Linked DNA regions of Cricetulus griseus. The protein of the gene in region 2 purifies or fractionates together with the protein of the main gene of each other region. This does not show direct contact. Links are inferred from orthologs where the notes say so. Each region holds a gene or a part of one and is shown on either strand. Other genes may lie near its edges. The genes, in order: Ctnnd1, Cdh2, Jup, Ctnna1 and Ctnnb1.

Region 1 (3,983 bases), on a different chromosome or scaffold from region 2:
CTTATGACCTAGGTTTGATCCCCTGGACCCATACAGAAGAAGGAGAGAAGGGATTCCTGTAAATTGTTCTCAGACCTGAACATGAGTGCTGTAGTACATGTATGCCTATGCACATATTTAAACACAGATACACACATTTAATTTAGAAAATATAAAGAGAAACCTTCCAATTCATTATCTTTGTTTAGTAATTAGTAAGTAACTGATACTAGTCTTACCAAGTGGTAATATGCCAGCATTCCCATCACTGAGAAGGCAGAGGCTGAGGGATTTTAAGTTTGAGGCCAGCCAGTGGTCCAGTGAGACCTTGTCTCAAACAAAACAAAGCAACAATAAGCAAAACCCCTTCCCCTCCTAAATCTTAAACAAATCTAGAGGAAAATTCCTGTATGTTTTATTTAGGTCAAATAAAAATGCCAGGTAATTTTGAGTTCACAAATAGCATTCCCTTAATTATTTTAACTATATTCTTATCTATTCTAAACTTTTTGTTTACTAGATTCTGTCTATTGTACCAGGCAAACCCACATTTCTTTTATGGAAAGACAGTGGTTTTCCTCAACAGCTCTGTGGATTCTGCTTCCTTTTAGTTTAAAGCAGAGAGGCTAACAAGCTAGCAACAAGCCTAAGCATTTATTTTTCCTCATAAACGCTAATGCAATTAAATCAAAACAATGAAATTGAGAGTTTGCCTGAGATATTTCCTACCATCCCAATCAACAGTCCTGTTTCTGGGATTTCTCTCTCCTTCCTTCCTGGCTTCCATTGGGAAATGCTTTGGGGAAGAAAGCAAGAAACCAAACAGCAGCAGGCAAATAAAGTAAGCTCTTTTCCGTTTACCCACCCTGATAGGTAGGGGAAGGGAGCAAGACCCTCATCAAAGAGAACTGAGGCTTAGGCGTGCCGTTCTAAAAAAGCTTTGTTATCTAGCACCTCCCACCTCCCCCTGAGCTCTGCAGTAATTCCTTGGAGATTGTATAGTCTCCGCTTTAAATATAAATATATATATAATACATATATTTAAAACTTCCTTGTCTTTCTCTCTCTCTTTTTTTTAATTTCCTATAATAAAGTTTCCTATTGGATAAGGTCAGCTCCCTGATTTATGCCTGGCTCCTATTGGAAGCTCGCAGGGGCTGACATCACTTAGGAAAGCTAGGGTAGGGCTGCCAGATCAGTTTGTCACCACCCAGGCTCCCTTGCCTTTGGCTGGGTGCAACTTCCATTTTAGGTGTTGGATCTGAGGGGAAAGAGAGAGAGAGAGAGAGAGAGAGAGAGAGAGAGAGAGAGAGAGAGAGAGAGAGAACAGGAGGACGGGAGGGAGACAGAGACAGACACGGAGGGAGAGGGAAAGAGGCAGGAAAGATCCTGAAAGAGGAAGAGGAAGAGGTGGCCTGAACCTCGCTGGATTGTCTTTCACAGCACACCGGTGAAGCTTTGGGTTTGTGTCTTAAAGGATTGGCTTTAGAAGTCCACATTTGAGGTGTGTGTTCTTTTCATTTTTTCCTTTTATAAAAATGTGTGTATAACTAGTTGGGAAAAGGATAACCCAAGTAGAATTTTTGTCTTAATGGTAACTGGAGGGAATTTAAAAAAAGGCAAGAGAGCCTGTTAAAGCTGACGGTGAATTTTAGCCAGTTATTTTTTCTACTTTTAATGCTTTGGATGTATTTTGGTATTTTATTTATGTTAAGGAAAAGGTAAATGTACTGGACCTAATACCGGAAGCTGGTTTAGAACCGGGAGGTAGAAGTTGTGTAAATTACATTTTTGTGTGTACTTTTATTTCATTTTATTTTATTTTTCTGAATTAAGCTAACATACTTCTGTTTTCAGAGCTCAAAAAGTTGTTTTCTTGGCATGTTGTGTGTGGGTTGGGAAAGGAATTTGTCCTGGTCAGGAGAAAGTTGTATAGATGGCTCTTACCATGTTTCAAAACTTTCAGCCCCCTCACCTTTGAATCTGTGGCAGTAGAAAGTTGCAGGGAGCTTTAGAGCTTAAATAGTATTCATTGTTTTTTTCCTCCTGAGTTCGAACGGCCCAGATGCTTTTCAGCTCTGCTCTTCCTGGGTGGATCCCTTACTTTTCCAGGTGAGGTGGGTGGGAGGGAGCCTAGCCTGTTAGTAGGAACCCCTTTGCTTTGCCTTGAAAAACAAATGGATCTATGTTAACTGAATTGCCACCACTTTTTTTGTTTTTAAGCCTAAAAATACTTTTGATGGCAGAGATTTGTGAAGGTGTCGTGTGTTAGACCTGCAAATATGATAATGTTGGTGCTTTAAGGGGTAAGGAATTCTAACCATGCTTTCTGTTGACCAGAGGAAAGCGGCAGAACACCTGAGAGTCTTTTCAGCCCTCTTGGTTTCCAAAAGGGCTGTAGGTTGTGAATGATCAGACGAAAGGGAACCACTTAATGAAAACTTGAGTTTGCAAACCCATTTGAGAAAGCACAAAGGGAATTTTATTTCTAAGCCAGTGGAAAGGTGATTTTTACAGTTGTCTTTTGTTTGTTTGGTTGGTTAACTTACCATTAAGTTAGAATCTGTTAGAGATAAAGGCCTATGACTGCTTCATGTTTTATAATTGGCCTTAAGATTTGTTTGGTTTTGCTTTTTGTACATACGTTCTTGCAAATGTGCTGATCCCAGATAATTATATAGCCTACTCATCAGTAGCTGCAAAATATGGTATTCTTTTAAAATGGGATTCAGTATGGAAATTTGGGCTGGTATAGATATTGCTCTAATTGTAGCAAGATGAGTCTTAATGTGTAAGCTGCTCATTACCTTTAAATTGATACGAATCTTCTGATTTCATAGTCCCTGCCCCCATTCTTTTTAGACTGGAATACTTCCTTGATTTTTTTCTACAGTGAAGACATTCCTTGCAAGATGATTTTGTCCTTGTGAGGTTTGTGGCTTATGGAGGAAACAACTTTTGTTCCCCTTTTCATATAGTTTAGGTGAGGGTTACAGGAAAAGATTTGACATCTAGACTTCAGAATTAAAAGAAGTAGTTGAAAAGAAAGAAAGAAGACAATGTGTACAGTCAGTTGGACCGTATTTCTCATTTCCAGTTCTTTAGTTTTCCTTTGAAATGCTTTTCTCGGGAGGTTTCTTGGTGGGGTCTTTGGAGGGTTGGTCTGTTGCTGCCAGAGTGTCGGTTTCTCGCTCAACCTTTAGGGGGAGGGATGAGAGTCTGAAGGAGGAGTACAAAGGCAGTTTGAAAATAGGTTCTGGATGACTGGTGGTGATCTGGGTCCGGCTTTGAAACTGGGCTTTGTGTAGCTAGGTTCAACAGCATTAGAAGCCAGGACTATTTTTACAAATTAAAGCATTGTTTGGCCTTCGGTGTAATTAATATAGAGCCTTTTGAGGTGATAAGATGGAAGATTTTTATCTTTTACTTCACCTCTGCTGGTTCTTTGAGGAATTATAGGAAAGGGTACAGATAAGTAATCTTCTATTTTGCTATTATTACTATTTGCTGTGCTTTGTATTTTGATTTTGGGGTGAAAATGATGACAGATGAGTATGAATAGTACAGATTTTCTTTCCTTGTTTGCTTTGTATATAATTTGCTTAGTTTCTTTGTTATGTGAGTGAGGTAGTGGTCTGTTTCAGGTGTGTGTGTGAGGCGTCTCATGGCTGGTTATAGTTCCAGTGCCTTTCTTAGGATTGCAGTATGAACAGCCAGAGGGGTCAGAACATGTTCTGTGTTGGTCTAAAATTGGGACTCTTGGAGATTTATTAAAAAAAAAAAAAAGAAAGAAAGAAAAGGAAAGCTTCATGTAATTACATCCCAGCCTTAGGTTTATCAAATAGTTGGCTTCTTAAGGATGGATGAGGCGGGATGCAGGCAAATAAATTTAGTTGGGTCACTATCAATTGCACTAGCAAAATATTTAGCTTTGTACAATTTCTAGTTTTCTATTATGGTCACCCTCTGTTAATACCTTATAGGTCCTCCTGTCCCTGACCCTC
Region 2 (3,515 bases):
CATTATACTCCCAAATTCCCAGAGAAAGGCACTTCTCCTGGGAACAAGTGTTTGTTTAGATGGCTAGGGCAGGAAATGAGGGTTGGGTATGTAATTGGATTCTGGGTTGTTTTTTGACTTGTAGGGGCTGGTGTTTCTCTGTCATGCTATTCTGCATTTTCATCCCCACCCCACTGCAGCTATGAAGGCATGGGGATTGGTTTGAGCACTGAAATAATATTAGGCTTTCATCCTTCACACTCAATGCCAGGTCTGAAACCATAAATTCTCCCAAGTTGATGTTAAAATCAGTGCCAATTCATTTTCCTTCAAAATGCTAGTGTCACTTTGTCATGGCTGAATCTATCATCCCTATGTTTGTCTCGATAAGGCTGGCGTGGTTGAGAGTGAACACCCCCTCCCCCTTCCTGAACACAGATCTAGGAATAAATTCTGTCTAAAATCTGAGCATATCAGTTTTCATCCTGAAACAAAAAGATTTAATGACTCCTATTTGAGCACATTTTTATTATTGGCCATAAAAGTAAATATCCTCCCTTTAAAGCCAGATACATGATCTCATTTGCCATTGTTCAGGGCTAAATCTAGCAAGTGGATTATTAGTATAGCATGCAGGTTTCAAATTATAGCCAAAGCAGTCTCCACACAGGAAGTAAAAAATGCTCAGGCTTCTATAGTAATTGCTTAGAAAAAAAAGGGATGGAATTCTAAATTACCAGAACACTTGTAAATGGAGAAAACATAAAGGAAATGGCCAACATTTTCAAGAAAGTGATTGGTGCATAGCGTGATCACACAATAAACTGAGTCCTGCTGCTATTCTACAATAAAATACTGGGCCCAGGCAATTTATTCTTTTAACCTGAATGCTTAGAAGTGATTCTTAAAGTACTTTCCGGTGGTTAATTTCTTGCATTCCACTGAACCAAAGAATGCAAAGTGTCTTAAAAAGAAGAAATTCCTTAATCTACACTTATGCTAAAGACAGACGATTTACGGAGCTATGTAATCATTTCTACTATCAAATGCCCTGTGTGTGACGTATAATCTCACTATTTTGTGCAGCCCTTCAGAAACAAATACCTTGATCTTCCCATGACTGGAGCAGGTTTCTGACTGTACTTTATATGCAGGGAAGTGAAGGAAAGCAATACACCTATTTTGCTAAATCATCAATTATGTGCCATAATTCATACTCAAGTCAAGATAAGTTCTCCAAGCTAGGACTGCTTAACATTTCTCTGAGGAAAGGGCTTCCTGTGGCCTCCAGCAATCAGCACCAAAAAGTGATTGAGAAGGTGTGGGAACACAATCCTAGCAGCTTGCTGAAAACAAGTCAGCACTCTAAATGATGCTTGTTGCTTTTAGGCTAACGGGACTTTGTCTGCTTGCATTATATTGACGGCATGGTGCTCAGGAGTCCAATAGACTTGCTCAGTTATTTTGATGTGGTCCCTTCCTGAGCATCCTAGAAGTAGATGGCATCACAGCCTCCAGGACAAAGTACTCACTTAGCAGGATGATGATACAAAGCAGAATAGCAATGATGGCACCAGTGCCCAGCCCGGCACCTACAATCCTGTCCACATCTGTACAGTCTCCATTGGAGTCACACTGGCAAACCTTCACACGCAGGATGGAAATATTGGACTTGGGAGGATTCCCTGAATCTGTAATAATGATGGGAACTTCATAGATACCAGCTTCCAAAAATTTTATTTTTAAATTGAGTTGAGCAAAATCACCTATACAGAAAAGAGAGAAAAAGAAAACAAATTTGACAGTCAGTACCTAGTAAGATTTAAAGAAAAAACATCCACTACTTTTGAGAATGTATTTCATAACTGTACCCCATTAAACAATTCACAATTTTGCTGTATTGTGAAAATTGTTTTGTGTTTCAAGGTCTTTTAATATCTGATCTAAACCCTTAAATAGCACTTAAAATATATTTAATGAGAAGATTATGAAGTATGTAAAATTAATTTCCTATACCAGGGTTCCAAACTACTTAACTACACATCCGTTCAAGTAATGAACCTGTTCTTACCATTAAGTCGGGTGATGGTCCAGTTTCTTTTAATAGTCACTGGAGATAAAGGAAGATCAAAAGCAAATGGCCCAGCATTTGGATCAATGTCATAATCAAGTGCTGTGATGTTAATTGAATTGGGTTCTGGAGTTTCACAAGTCTCAGCCTCTTGAGGTAACACCTGAGGGGCGTTGTCATTGATATCAAGTAAATAGATTTGCAGTGTTCCCGTTCCACTCATAGGAGGAATTCCTAAAAGGAGAGAAAAGTCATAGTTTAGGGCAACAATGTCTCAGCCGAGGCTCAATTCTTATGTTTTTGAAGTCTCTTGTCCCTATCACTGTATCATATGGGAAAATGCTCACTGTCACAGGAGCTGAATGGGTAGGCTTTGGAACAAGCTCGATTCTTATTTCTCTGCTAGGATTACGCTGAACTGTTGGTGCAGCTATTCAAGCTGAGCATGGAGCTCAAGCCTTCCCTTCTCTAGCTGTCCATCACTCTGGGCTCATGAACACTGGACTCCTCCAGAACACTGAGGAATGCCAGAGGAGCAGGGGGGCTCCTGAGATTATGGACCCCAGCCTCTTGGTGGAGATCCAGGACATGTATGATTGGAGGAGAGTTCCAAAAGCTCAGAACAGCTGTAATAATGACAACTATTTACAGGCAGCTGAGAGAAGACTTGGTCTTGGGAACATATACTCAGTCAACCACACACAAGAAAGGACTGGGGCTGCTCGTTATACACTAATGCATGGTATTACTATGCAGGAGTTTTAAACAGGGGAGAGACCTCAGTCTCTGCAAACTGCTCATGGCATACTTTAGAGTATACAAAACTGTGTACACCAGCTCTGCCTGACTGCAAACCTGTTCTTATTGACCCTGTAATGCTATCTCTCCTAGCACATGTGATTTCTTAGTCTGGCTTCTGCAGTATTATAATATCCACATATATCTAAGAAGTTTTATATGTGTGCATTTATATACCTATTATTTTTATTTATATGTGTTTTATAAAGTTTCATACACTGACTCCCAGAAATATGGCTGAAGGTCATGGAACTTAGGAAGGTGTACATATCCACAGTCCTGAGAAGGCAGTGGACAAAGAATATAAGAAACACAACAGATCAGAGGAGAGAAGCACTGATGGGAATAGTGTTTTACTCTCCTTATGCTATCATCAACACTAGTTGCTTGATCGCTTGAGTAATGTTTACATGTACTATTGCTTTAAGATAACTTAACAAAGCAGGTGACAGTGAAGCCATTTATAATAAGGAAACTAAGGCCCAGCCAAGTTCTCTCTTCTGCCTTGTGATTAGTAAGGTTCACCTGTGTGGCTTCACAGTGCCAGACAGCTCAGTTCTCTCATTGCAAATACTCTTCCAATTAGAAGCTATACACCTCGTTAAGTGAGAAGCCTGGTTGTGCCTCAAAACCAACAAGCATCATGTTACTTTATGAATCTTTCAAG
Region 3 (3,515 bases), on a different chromosome or scaffold from region 2:
AACTCATTGTGTAGCCAAGGATGACCTTGAACTCCTCTTGCTGCCACTTATGAAGTGCTTTAATTAATTACATAAGTGTCCCACCAAGCCTCATTTTATTCATTGTTGAGAGTGGAACCTTGTTAGGCAAGCATTCTACCAACTGAGCTACATTTTCAGCTATAGCTGTTAATAATTATTGCTGAGCTGGCCATGATAGCAAGGGTATATGATGTCCCCCATGTACTTGGTAGACTTGAGGCAGGATTACAAGTACAAAGTAAGTTCAAAGTCAGCTTGGGAAACAAAACATTTTTAATTTTTTAAGTGTGTGTGTATTTGCATGTATGTATGTATGTATGTATGTATGTATGTATGTATGTATATACACCAAATGGGTGCAGTACTTATGCTGGCCAGAAGGGAGAAGCCCAAACCTCCTGGAACTCCAGTAAGCTATGGCTTTGAGCCACCATGTAGGTGCTGGGAATGGAACCTTGGTCCTCTGCAAGAGCAGTAAGTGCTCTTAACTGCACAACCATTTCTCCGGCCCCCAATTTTTTTTTTTTTTTTAAGACTGGGAATATAGCTCAGTGGTTAGATGCTTGCTGAGCAAATGTGAGGCCCTACTTTTACTCCCCAGAACTGTACTGCAGAACAATATGCAGTACTACATATATAACAACATATTGCTGTAGACATTTTTTGTAATGATAGTTGTCAGACAAGAGTCTTTTCAAAGCAAGTCATGGCTGTGATCTTAGTTGTCATAGAGTTCCCTGTGCTGGGTGGGCTAGATGGGCCTCATGCTATAAATAAAAGCAATGGCAAAGATGATTTCCCAGAACCTTGTTAGGTATAGAGTCCTGAGTGATGCCCTATACTTTGATGGAGCACGAGGCAGCTTGGAGCCGTGTCTGTGTGGCTTACCTTGCTCTTCAGGGTCCCTCTAAATCTCCTGTAGCTCAGTCCTTGTGTCATTTGTCTTCCAGGTGACCTGGAGTACCAGATGTCCACGACGGCCAGAGCCAAGCGGGTGCGGGAGGCCATGTGTCCAGGTGTGTCAGGCGAGGACAGTTCTCTACTGCTGGCCACCCAGGTGGAGGGGCAGACCACCAACCTGCAGCGGCTGGCAGAGCCATCCCAGTTGCTCAAGTCGGCCATTGTACATCTCATCAACTACCAAGATGACGCAGAGTTGGCCACCCGGGCCCTGCCTGAGCTCACCAAGCTGCTCAACGATGAGGACCCGGTCTGTGAAGGGCCTGGAGGTGGGGTGGGATAAAGTTAGCTGTCCCCAGAGGGAAGGAAGCCATGAGGCTGGCTCCCCACAAAGTGTCTGGCTCATCTAAGCTCTGTGGAAGGATGTCCTGTCCTTTGCCTTCCTTCCCTCTGTGGAGGAGTTGCCTGGACTGTATGCTCAAGGTCTCATACTTCCTTTAGGTAGTGGTGACCAAGGCGGCTATGATTGTGAACCAGCTGTCCAAGAAGGAGGCATCCCGCCGGGCCCTAATGGGCTCGCCCCAGCTGGTGGCGGCTGTGGTGCGCACCATGCAGAACACCAGTGACCTGGATACAGCCCGTTGCACCACGAGTATCCTGCACAACCTCTCCCACCACCGGGAGGGGTTGCTCGCTATCTTCAAGTCTGGAGGCATCCCTGCGCTAGTCCGAATGCTCAGGTAACTTGCTCCTCTGTTGCACAGGCGTCAGGGGCCTCCCAGCATCCTTTTATACACACATGTGAAGCACCACACCCATCCTGGCTCTCAGCTGCTCATAGCCCAACCCAGAGACAGTAACGTAAACAACAGGCTGACTGTTAGGATCTGTAAGTTGTAGCAACAGAATGGTTGAGATTGCCCAGAGGCAGACTCGTACTGAGGGCAGGGCTTTGACAGATGGGTGGATTTGGTCAGCCTTGATCAAGGAGAGGCTATCCTAGCAAGAGAAGAGCATGTCTGAGCCCCACCCGACCATGCGATTTTTTTCTCCTCTTTCCCGGCTGAGATGAGTGGGAGTTCTTTGAGGGGAATTTCACTCCCCTCTGTAGCTGTCACGGGGCCTCTGCTATGTGACCTTACACACAGTAGTGACTCAGCTGTTCAGGGACCTGGTATATAATTAGGACGTGCAGGACCTCAGAGGCGGGAGTGAAGATGCGCTGTGTGCTGATGTCATTAGGACTGCGCTCGGCTGGCCATGGTGGTGCTCACCTTTGATCCCAGTCCTCAAGAGGTAGAGATCTCTATGTATTCCAAGCCAACCTGGTCTATACAGAGAGTTCTAGGCTAGCCAGGGCTGCATAGTGCATAGTGCAAACTGAAAACCCGTCTTAAAAAAAAAAAAAGGAAGAAAGAAAGAAAGAGTGGGACTGGATCTTGAGGGGAGTAGAGACACTGGGTGGGGAGGAGCTGATGGCTCAGTCAATGAGGAGTTTACCTCTCAAGCATGAGGACCCAGGTTCAATCTCCAGCACCCATGTAAAAATGCTGGATGCAGTAGAGGGCATTTGCAGCCCCTGCCCTGGGGAAGCAGAGACTGGAGGAAGCCCTGGAGCTTGCTGGCCAGCCAGTTTAGCCTAAGGAGCTTGGGCCAGTTAGAGACCCTGTATCTGAGGAGGGGGATTGTGTTCCTGAGGATGACACCTGAGGTTGTCTTCTGACCTACACACACACACACACACACACACACACACACACACACACACACACACACAAATTAAAAAGAGGGGCTGTGCTCAAGAAAGAATGACACTTTAGGGTATTTCATTTAGATACCTCTGTCAAAAAAGTTACTGGTTATCCCAGAAGGAGCCATTTTAAATACCATAAATACTCCAGCATCTAAGGTATCCTCATTGTCTCCATCTCTTCCTCAAGTTGTTGTATCTGCTAGTCAAAATCCTGCCTCTGTCTTCCCTGCTTTTCGATCATCTGGTTCAGAGAAACCTGACAAAGCTGCATCTTGAATTTAGACTAAATGAGCCAGTTTTTAAATAACGGGGCATTGTTTTAACTCCCATAAAAATTTTAACTGTTTATTATACTGTTGAAAACATACTGTTCATACTGTGTGTCTGTGTGTGTGTCTGTGTCTGTGTGTGTGTGGTGTGTTGGGGTGTGTGTGTGTGTGTAGGTGTATGTGTATCTTCATTAGCTTGCACAAGACTTTGTTTTCTTGGGGAGGGCAAAATATACCATTTCACTCATTGGTGTGAAGATGTTTTCCAAGATTCTTTGTTTAAAATATGTCATCAAAATTTACCTGTCTATATAACATAAATTTAACAAAGTCAAGTTTGACTAGTTTAAGTAAGCTAGCCTTTTCATAATTATATTGATGTTTCTTCTTAAATCTGGACTGTTGTGGTGTATCTACAGTATAGTATTCTGTGTCATTGGTGACATTTTATTTTTGTTTCTGTAATGCATTAAGAAAATGCAGTCCATGGTGTAAAATTGTACATATTCCTTAAATCCCTAATAATCTGTACTAAATATATGTACAAAGAACAAAAAAAAAAAAAGAATGAC
Region 4 (4,203 bases), about 17 Mb from region 2:
AAGAAAACATTTAATGGAGATCCAATTTCCAATTACCTTTCTAGAGGTTTAGTCCATGGTGGGAAGCATGGCAGCATTCAGGCAGAAGGATCTGAGAGTTCTTATATCTTGATCAGCAGGCAACAGGAAGGAGTCTGTGTCCTGGGGTTAGGTTGAATATAGGAGACCTGAAAGTCCCCCCCCCCCAGTGACACATTCTCTCCAATGGGGCAACGAACCCACACCCAGTAGTGCTCTTTGGGGGGCCACTATCTTTCAAACCACCAGAGTCAAAACCCCCAAACTAGAAACAAAAAGCATGTAATTGGACAAGAATGGCCTTTTTTGTTTGTAGTGCTGAAGACTGAACCCAGGGCATAGTAGGCATCTCCAAACCACTTTTCCTAGAATTAAAATTTATTACTTTGTGTGGGTGAATATGCCACCTGCACCAGGGTGGAAGTCAGAGGTCAACTCTGTGGCCTTCATACTCTTAGTACGTCATTGTTGGTAGAGGGCAAACATTTTTACCCACTGATCATCTCTCTCATCTGCCCACTCTTTAAGAGGCCCCAAACCAAGTGTAATGGTGCAGGCCTATAATCTCAGCAGCTGGGAGGTGAGCAGGAGAATCAAGAGTTTAAGGCAAGTTGGCACTGGCCACCCAGCCCTGCAACCTGAGTTCAATCCCCAGGACCCACATGGTGAGAGAAAACCACAGATTATCCTGATTTGTACACAAGCACAAGCTTTGTGCCGCCCCTCGGCCCAAATGCAAAAAAAAAAAAAAGTTTATTCTTGCCGACATAGCCAGTTCAAGACCAGTTTGACCTACGTGAGAACCTACCTCAAAAATAAAACTAAACAAACACCAAAAAACAAAAAAAAAACCCGAAACAAAACAAAACAAAAAACCGTTCTGAGAATCGGATTCCCGTTCCACTGTGCCGGGAGATGTGGAACGTTTACTTGGAGTTGTTTCTCTTCGGGTAAAGCAAGGAGTAGGCTGCCCCCTTTTCTGGGCGCCTTGGACCAGGGGACAAGATGACATTCGCCACAGGAGTGAGACCAGCAGGACCCCGCGGCGTCACGCTGGTCCCGGGACGTCGGACGGGGCGGGGCCTTCCGGGGCCGCGCCCCGAGACTCACCTGAGTTGGGAGCGGTGACTCACCTGCCCTCCGCCCGCCTTCCCCGGCTGCGGGCTGTTCCGTGAGTCGCCGCCCCTCCTTCCCGTCGGGGGTCAGGCTGTGCGCGCCCCGAGGCCGAACGAAAGGGACTTCTGGGGGTCCCAGCCTGGAGTTGCCAGGCTACCATCCCGGAGGGAGGCTCTTCCCCGAAAGCGCCCGCCGCCGCAGGCCGGGACGAGCGGTGTGGAGGCCGCGGGAGGCGCTGGGAAGAGCGCGCGGAGGGAGGTGCCGGGAAGGGCGGGCGGGCGCGGCGCGGGGCGGGCCGGGGGCGGGAGCGCAGGGCGGCCCATTTCCTCCTGGGAGCCGGACGGGCGGGAGACAAAGCGGCGGCCGTCGGCTTGGCGCCTCAGGAGTCGTCCTGCGTTCTCCTCGCTCGCCGCAGGTAAATCTTTGTGCCTCCCCTCGGGGCGCGCGCGGGGCCCCTGGTGGGCCGAGGGTCTCCGCTGGCCGGGGTCCGGGTGACGGCGCAGGCAGGCTCTGGGCGGCCTCCGCCCTGGGGAGCGTCGGGCCAGGGCGGCTTCCCGGAGCAGCCTGGGCCTGGGCGGGCGGAGCCCGACGCTCGGGAAGCGGAGCTACCGCCGCGGCGCCTTCTCGGAAAACTTTCTCCCTCTTTCTAAACTTTGTTCCCCGAGCAGGGCGCGCGCTCGCGGGACGGGCGTCGCGCCTCGGGCCGCCTCCCCCGCTGAGAGGCGACCTCGGAGTGTCTCTGGCGTTCCGGCGGTGGGGTGTTTTAAGGGTCGCGATTGTTCCCTGGATTTGTGCCGGCCGCGCCCCTCCCCCCTTTCTCCCCCTCGCTGAAAGTTGGGCGTTTGCGGGGGCCAGAGGTCGGGGGAGCTGGCATTCCAGTCCGACCCACGGAGTGTGAGAGCCGTAGCTTCCTGCTCTCCAGGGCTCTTGTCCTTTAAGGTGCGCCACACCCGTGTGAACCTGTGGCAAGAAGTTGTTAATCTTTACTTTAAAATTACTCATCCGCGTTCTCTGCCTGACTGGACTGACTTTACACCCAGTTTTCAGGAGTGGCGTTAGGGTCTTGTTACTGACCTTGTGCTACCGAGGGCTGGTCTTGCTAAGTAGCCCAGGATGGCCTGGAACACTCGGGCTCCCTGCCTTAGCTTCCCGAGGGCGGACATTGCAAGCCTGCGATGTCAATGCCCCGCCTTCCTTTAAAAGGAACTTGTTAATGTGTGTAGAACTTGGAGGAAAAATGTTGACTGGATGGGTAGCCTTGGATTGCAAGCAGTGGCCATCCCAGTAATTCAGTTAGCAGTTGGCTCAAATTGACGGTTGATACCCTCTTAAGTTCTTCGTCTTCATAACATTTTTTGTGTGTTTTGTATAGAATGCACAATAATTTATAATGTAAACTCATGCATACATCACTGTATTGTGTATGTGTATTGTATCTTTATGATAGGTGTTTTTGAAAAGGATATTTTGTGTTTAACTGATTCTTAAAGACTACAGGTGGTTGTTACTTTAAGAAACGGAGTTTGTTTTAGTTTACAAAAGGATTGAGCGGGGAAATCATTCGTAGCCTCTGCTCAATTGTTTATACGTCCTGATTCAACTAAGTCAGAAAATAGGTTTTAAAATTACTCTTTGTTTGAGGATCAGAAGTTTCTCTAGTGTCGTATCCTTTTTTTTTTTTTTCCCCTCAGACTGGCTCTCACTATGAAATCCACGCTAGCTTAAGCTTCTTGATTGTTGGGATTCAGACGTGTTCCATACGTAACACCTGTCTGGGTCAAATTTGTGTATAATGCAAACAACAGAAATTCACAGATGCTTGGAGTGTTAATACGTTTATAAGTCTGGGAGTCCTGGAAGGTGGTGGCTTTTGAATTGGGTGAAGCACGAGTTGAAGTCACGTGGCAGGAGAAAGTAGGGGAAAGGCATAAAAGGGCATGTAAGTGTGGGGAATCTGATGTTCTGTTTTTTGTTTTTTTTTTTCTTTAGTTTTCACTCCCTCCCTTTCCTGCATGTAATCTATCCTGAGAACATTGGTTTTCAGCACCAGTTATATAGTACCACCTCCATTCCCATCAGAAACATTTTATATATTGGTTAGAGATGAGGGGTGTCTTTTTTCCTAGTTGAGAATCACTGCCTTGTGCCTTCTCTCATCAACCCCCCTTTCTGCCCTCTGTGGTGTTGGGGAAACAAACCTAGAGCCTTGTATATGCTAGTCAAATAATGTACCATGAGCTGTACAACCCCCCTTACCTCTGCCATCAACCTTAGCTGCTAACGTCCCGCTCCTTTTTTTGGGTTTAGGTGTCTCTCTTGAGCCACATGGGTCTCCTTGTATATCCCACGGCTTCTCAAACCATATCTGATGTGAGACTTAATTCTGTTTTGGAGATCTCAACCAGATGTGGAGAGCCAGAGTAACTGGTACGAATGGTCTTGAATTCTTTTAAAGTCACATTACTGACAGCACAGATAGCCCTGCTTGTTGAAGGTGGTGATAGTTAAGTGTACTGGCTAAAACCTAGACCAGAATAAAGGAATAGGGTCCTTAACAGATGTATATAGCCTGAGCATTGGCACAGTATTTGGAGGACTAGAGGTGTAGAGATGATCTTTGTATTATGAGTACTGAAATAGGGAGGTTTAATAAGGTGGTCAGGGAAGGCAAAGGCCAGGTCACAGATGGCTGTGTGTAGATTTTATTCTAAAGCTGTAAGAAGCCATTCTAGGGCCTTCCATGATCTGAGCAGCTTTTTATTTTTTGTTGGTGCTCAGAGATTTGAATTCTTTCGTGTCTAAAAGCAGGGAGTTGACTGAGGAAGGTAATGTGGATAAAGGTGATCAGGATGAATGGAGTTGTATTTTGGAAAAGGGGGTAAAGATTGGTTTGGTGATGGGGTGTAGGCCTCTTGATAAAGTTTTTTTTTTAAGCATTGAACTCTCAGTTATGTCTCAAGATCTAGTGTAGCACGAATTCTAGCAGTCAGCTATCAGGCTGAAAGCTGAAAGATCACAGCAGCAGAGCAGCCTGCCCCTAGAGAGTTCTCACCTCCACCAGTGCTCAGA
Region 5 (3,515 bases), on a different chromosome or scaffold from region 2:
AGGAAGACGTACAACTAGTGTCATACAACTCCAGAAATGCTGGAGAGGAACCCATCAGCAAGTTACTGTGTCACATCAAAGTGTATCTCTGGACCTCTCTGACGCAAGGTCTCAAACTGGGGGGTCCTAGGTATGTGACTTCTATACTACAGTATTCTGCTCAAGTCCAGGCATGCCAACACTTTCAAGAATACATCAACTTGGGCTGGAGAGATGGCTCAGTAGTTAAGAGCACTACTTGTGCACTACTTACTAACCCGGACTCAATCAATTCCCAGCATCCCCAACTGTCTCTTAAGTCCAGTTCCAGTGTATCGGACATACCACCCCCGACCAAGACACACATGCAGGCAAAACATCAATGCACGTAAACTAATAAGAAATAAACCATTAGAGGAAAAAAAAAAAAAAAAAAAAAACACCAACTCTGGCCATCTCCCCAAATGGAACATAAAGAAAAAGAATATGAAAAGCAACCATGTTTGCCTGTAGTAGTGAAAGTTGTCAGAACTGCCAGTTGAAAATGGGCACTAAGAGCCCATAGCCTCTGCCCTTGACCTTCTGAAAACACTGCAGAAAACATTTCCACAAGCAGATCTATTTCATACCTATGCTCAAAGTTACATCACCTGGTCTTTGGTATGCCCTACAAGCCTCACAAGGTCTACCCAGACTATGTGTTTACAGCCTTACCCCAAAACTTTCTCAAGCACTATACTCTGAAAGCCCCACCCACACCACCCTCCTTCCCCTTCAGGGCTTCCCTACATGCCTTCCTCTCTCTCACCTGCCTCCACCTACTATAAACACCTCACTGCCTCTCAAGCATCTCCACAAGGCCCTCAGAACAATGTTTCTTCTGTGTACTGAACCCCTTCCTTCTAGTCAGATTGGCAATTATCTCAAGGGTAAAGACTCTGGAGGCCTTTTCGTGTCCACTCAGTGCGATGCACAGCACGGTGCACACAGACACTCAATGTTGAGAGGACAGAGTGCAGCTCCTCTAGGGTGCACACAAAGGGCAGGTCAGTGAGTCTGGAGCCTGTGGAGCCTCTGTGCCCCATGCTAACAGCTTTCATGACTTTACCTTGCTCTCTTGATTGCCATAAGCTAAGATCTGCAGGCAGTCTGTTGTAATAGCCAAGAATTTCACGTTTGTTTTGTTGAGCAAAGCAACCATTTTTTGCAGTCCACCGGCTAGGCGCACCGCCATTTTAGCTCCTTCCTGATGTAGCAGGAGGTTGTGCAGCGTCGTGATGGCATAGAACAGAACAGAATCCACTGGTGACCTGAGAAGAAAGAAAAGAACCTTTGTCAAGCCAATACTGGCACCCTTCTTCTTCCCACCTTTCTGGTTATGTGACCGACCACTTTCTTACCCAAGCATTTTCACCAGAGCAGGAATGCCTCCAGATTTAAAGATGGCCAGCAAGCCCTCACGGTGGTGAGAAAGGTTGTGTAAGGTCCCAGCAGTACAACGAGCTGTTTCTACATCATTTGTGTTCTGCATGGTGCGTACAATAGCAGACACCATCTGAGGAGAGCGCATGATGGCATGTCTGGAAGCTTCCTTTTTGGAAAGCTGATGAACCATAACAGCAGCTTTATTAACTACCACCTAGAGTACAGGGGGTGAAGAAGCACCATTAGTTTCCAAATACTGACATCGAACAGCCATCGTCACCCTCTCAGTTTCCCTCAAAGTAAACGGGAAGCAAGCTGTGTAACTGCTTACCTGGTCCTCATCATTTAGCAGTTTTGTCAGCTCGGGAATTGCACGTGTGGCAAGTTCCGCGTCATCCTGATAGTTAATCAAATTAACAACGGCATGCTTCAGCATCTGGGATGGCTCAGCCAGGCGCTGGACGTTGGTGGGATGAGCCGCGTCAAACTGTGTGGACGGGATCTGCATACCCTCATCTAGGGTCTCAGGGAACATGGCAGCTCGCACCCTCTGAGCCCGAGTCATGGCGTACTGTCCGTCAATATCTGGGAAAGGAAAATCCATGTGAGACTTCACTGTCCTAAGTGCTAAGTAACAATGCACCCGACTTTCCTCTGCTTTTCACTTGTGCCTGTGTGTCTCTGCCACCACACACCCTTGCTAAGAAACCCAACTCTAGCTTTTAAACACACAAATGCTTTTTACCCGCCACTTGCTCTTGAGTGAAGGACTGGGAAAAACCTTGCTCCCACTCATACAGGACTTGGGAGGTGTCCACATCTTCTTCCTCAGGGTTGCCCTTGCCACTCAGAGAAGGAGCTGTGGTGGTGGCACCAGAATGGATTCCAGAATCCAAGTATGACTGCTGCTGCCAGTGACTAACAGCAGCTTTTCTGTCCGGCTCCATGGCCATGTCCAACTCCATTAGATCAGCTGTAAAAACAAAACAATTTAGTGCACTGAAAATGATACCTGAATAAAATATCCATGACAATGACCCATTGAAATACATTTAGAAACGTATTTCAGCAACCAAGGAGATCAGAATGATAGCCAGTGTGTGCTCCATGGTAGAACAGGGGCAACCCAGTGGCATTCAAGTTCCAGAATCACTCAAGCTAGACTCCCACGGGTAGCTTGCTGATTATTTCACCAAGCTGGTAGTAGTAAGCAGAACAGCAACAGGTAGGCTGGCAAACCAAAGCCGGCAGGGGCAAGAGAGCAGCAGGGACTCTAAGGCAGCATACAGAAGCCACAAGCAGCTCCCCGGGGCACAGACCTTGAGTAGCCATCGTCCACGCACGAGTGTGGTGTCACAGCTGCTGTACACTAAGCTTCAGATAATCCTGAAAAGAAAAATCAATTCATTAAAATTTAAGCAGATGCCTGCCACATGTGTTATATGTCCCACCAACACAAACCAAAAGCATGAGATACACTGAAAACACAGACCCTGAAACACAGCTCCACCATCACTGACCTTCTGAGTGAAGGCCATGTCTCAGCAGACACACAGGTGCTGAGAGAGAACAACTCCTTTGCTCTCCCATGAAAGCCAGCAAAAGGAACAATATTCAAATTTCAACTGCTCTGTGAATTCCTGAAGGCTAAAGACACTCAGACTGGGCTGGCCATGGAGACAGTGGAGTTTTTAAAAAACACCAAATTTTTATAAAACAAATCAGTTGTTTTTGCTGATATAACACTGATCAGAATGGCGATTTAAGAAGCAAAATTACTTGTCAAGTCAAAGTCTGAAGCACAAATAGAAATACATTTATCAAAAGATTTGTATGAGTTCAAGCAGTGATGTACACACCATGGCAACTGGTGCAGTTGCCCCTAGGATCAACAACAGAATGTAACATTTCTCACAGGTAAATTTTAGTCTAAGTAATGTCTGCATTTTAGTTTTACTGTACAATATTGAAGAAAAATATCAAATCACTAAGAACCAGATGGAAGCTTGGGGTTCGTGGTCTCTAGGTACTGTATGAACAGATTTCCATTATTAATGTGTGTCCCAAGCAGGGTCATCTTGCACTACAGCTAACACAAGGTGTCCTTACAA

Evidence for each region.
Region 1: the proteins of Cdh2 (region 2) and Ctnnd1 purify together in Homo sapiens (affinity purification with western blotting; 6 studies listed by BioGRID and IntAct, with this or other methods). This does not show direct contact. The link is inferred for Cricetulus griseus from reciprocal best matches to the Homo sapiens genes CDH2 and CTNND1.
Region 3: the proteins of Cdh2 (region 2) and Jup purify together in Homo sapiens (co-immunoprecipitation; 4 studies listed by BioGRID and IntAct, with this or other methods). This does not show direct contact. The link is inferred for Cricetulus griseus from reciprocal best matches to the Homo sapiens genes CDH2 and JUP.
Region 4: the proteins of Cdh2 (region 2) and Ctnna1 purify together in Homo sapiens (affinity purification with mass spectrometry; 4 studies listed by BioGRID and IntAct, with this or other methods). This does not show direct contact. The link is inferred for Cricetulus griseus from reciprocal best matches to the Homo sapiens genes CDH2 and CTNNA1.
Region 5: the proteins of Cdh2 (region 2) and Ctnnb1 purify together in Homo sapiens (affinity purification with western blotting; 18 studies listed by BioGRID and IntAct, with this or other methods). This does not show direct contact. The link is inferred for Cricetulus griseus from reciprocal best matches to the Homo sapiens genes CDH2 and CTNNB1.

Annotation. Positions count from the first base shown.
Region 1 is NC_048599.1:90,880,164-90,884,146, forward strand, and holds the start of Ctnnd1 (catenin delta-1), read left to right. Parts: upstream 1-1,176; 5' UTR 1,177-1,483; intron 1,484-3,983. UniProt on the Homo sapiens protein: Key regulator of cell-cell adhesion that associates with and regulates the cell adhesion properties of both C-, E- and N-cadherins, being critical for their surface stability.
Region 2 is NC_048595.1:219,837,250-219,840,764, reverse strand, and holds part of Cdh2 (cadherin-2), read right to left. Parts: intron 2,285-3,515; coding exon 2,051-2,284; intron 1,746-2,050; coding exon 1,512-1,745; intron 1-1,511. UniProt on the Homo sapiens protein: Calcium-dependent cell adhesion protein; preferentially mediates homotypic cell-cell adhesion by dimerization with a CDH2 chain from another cell. Cadherins may thus contribute to the sorting of heterogeneous cell types.
Region 3 is NC_048600.1:113,441,790-113,445,304, reverse strand, and holds part of Jup (junction plakoglobin), read left to right. Parts: intron 1-971; coding exon 972-1,231; intron 1,232-1,422; coding exon 1,423-1,661; intron 1,662-3,515. UniProt on the Homo sapiens protein: Common junctional plaque protein. The membrane-associated plaques are architectural elements in an important strategic position to influence the arrangement and function of both the cytoskeleton and the cells within the tissue.
Region 4 is NC_048595.1:202,375,352-202,379,554, reverse strand, and holds the start of Ctnna1 (catenin alpha-1), read left to right. Parts: upstream 1-1,400; 5' UTR 1,401-1,549; intron 1,550-4,203. UniProt on the Homo sapiens protein: Associates with the cytoplasmic domain of a variety of cadherins. The association of catenins to cadherins produces a complex which is linked to the actin filament network, and which seems to be of primary importance for cadherins cell-adhesion properties.
Region 5 is NC_048597.1:228,008,194-228,011,708, reverse strand, and holds part of Ctnnb1 (catenin beta-1), read right to left. Parts: intron 2,791-3,515; 5' UTR 2,737-2,790; coding exon 2,724-2,736; intron 2,378-2,723; coding exon 2,150-2,377; intron 1,990-2,149; coding exon 1,736-1,989; intron 1,619-1,735; coding exon 1,380-1,618; intron 1,290-1,379; coding exon 1,088-1,289; intron 1-1,087. UniProt on the Homo sapiens protein: Key downstream component of the canonical Wnt signaling pathway.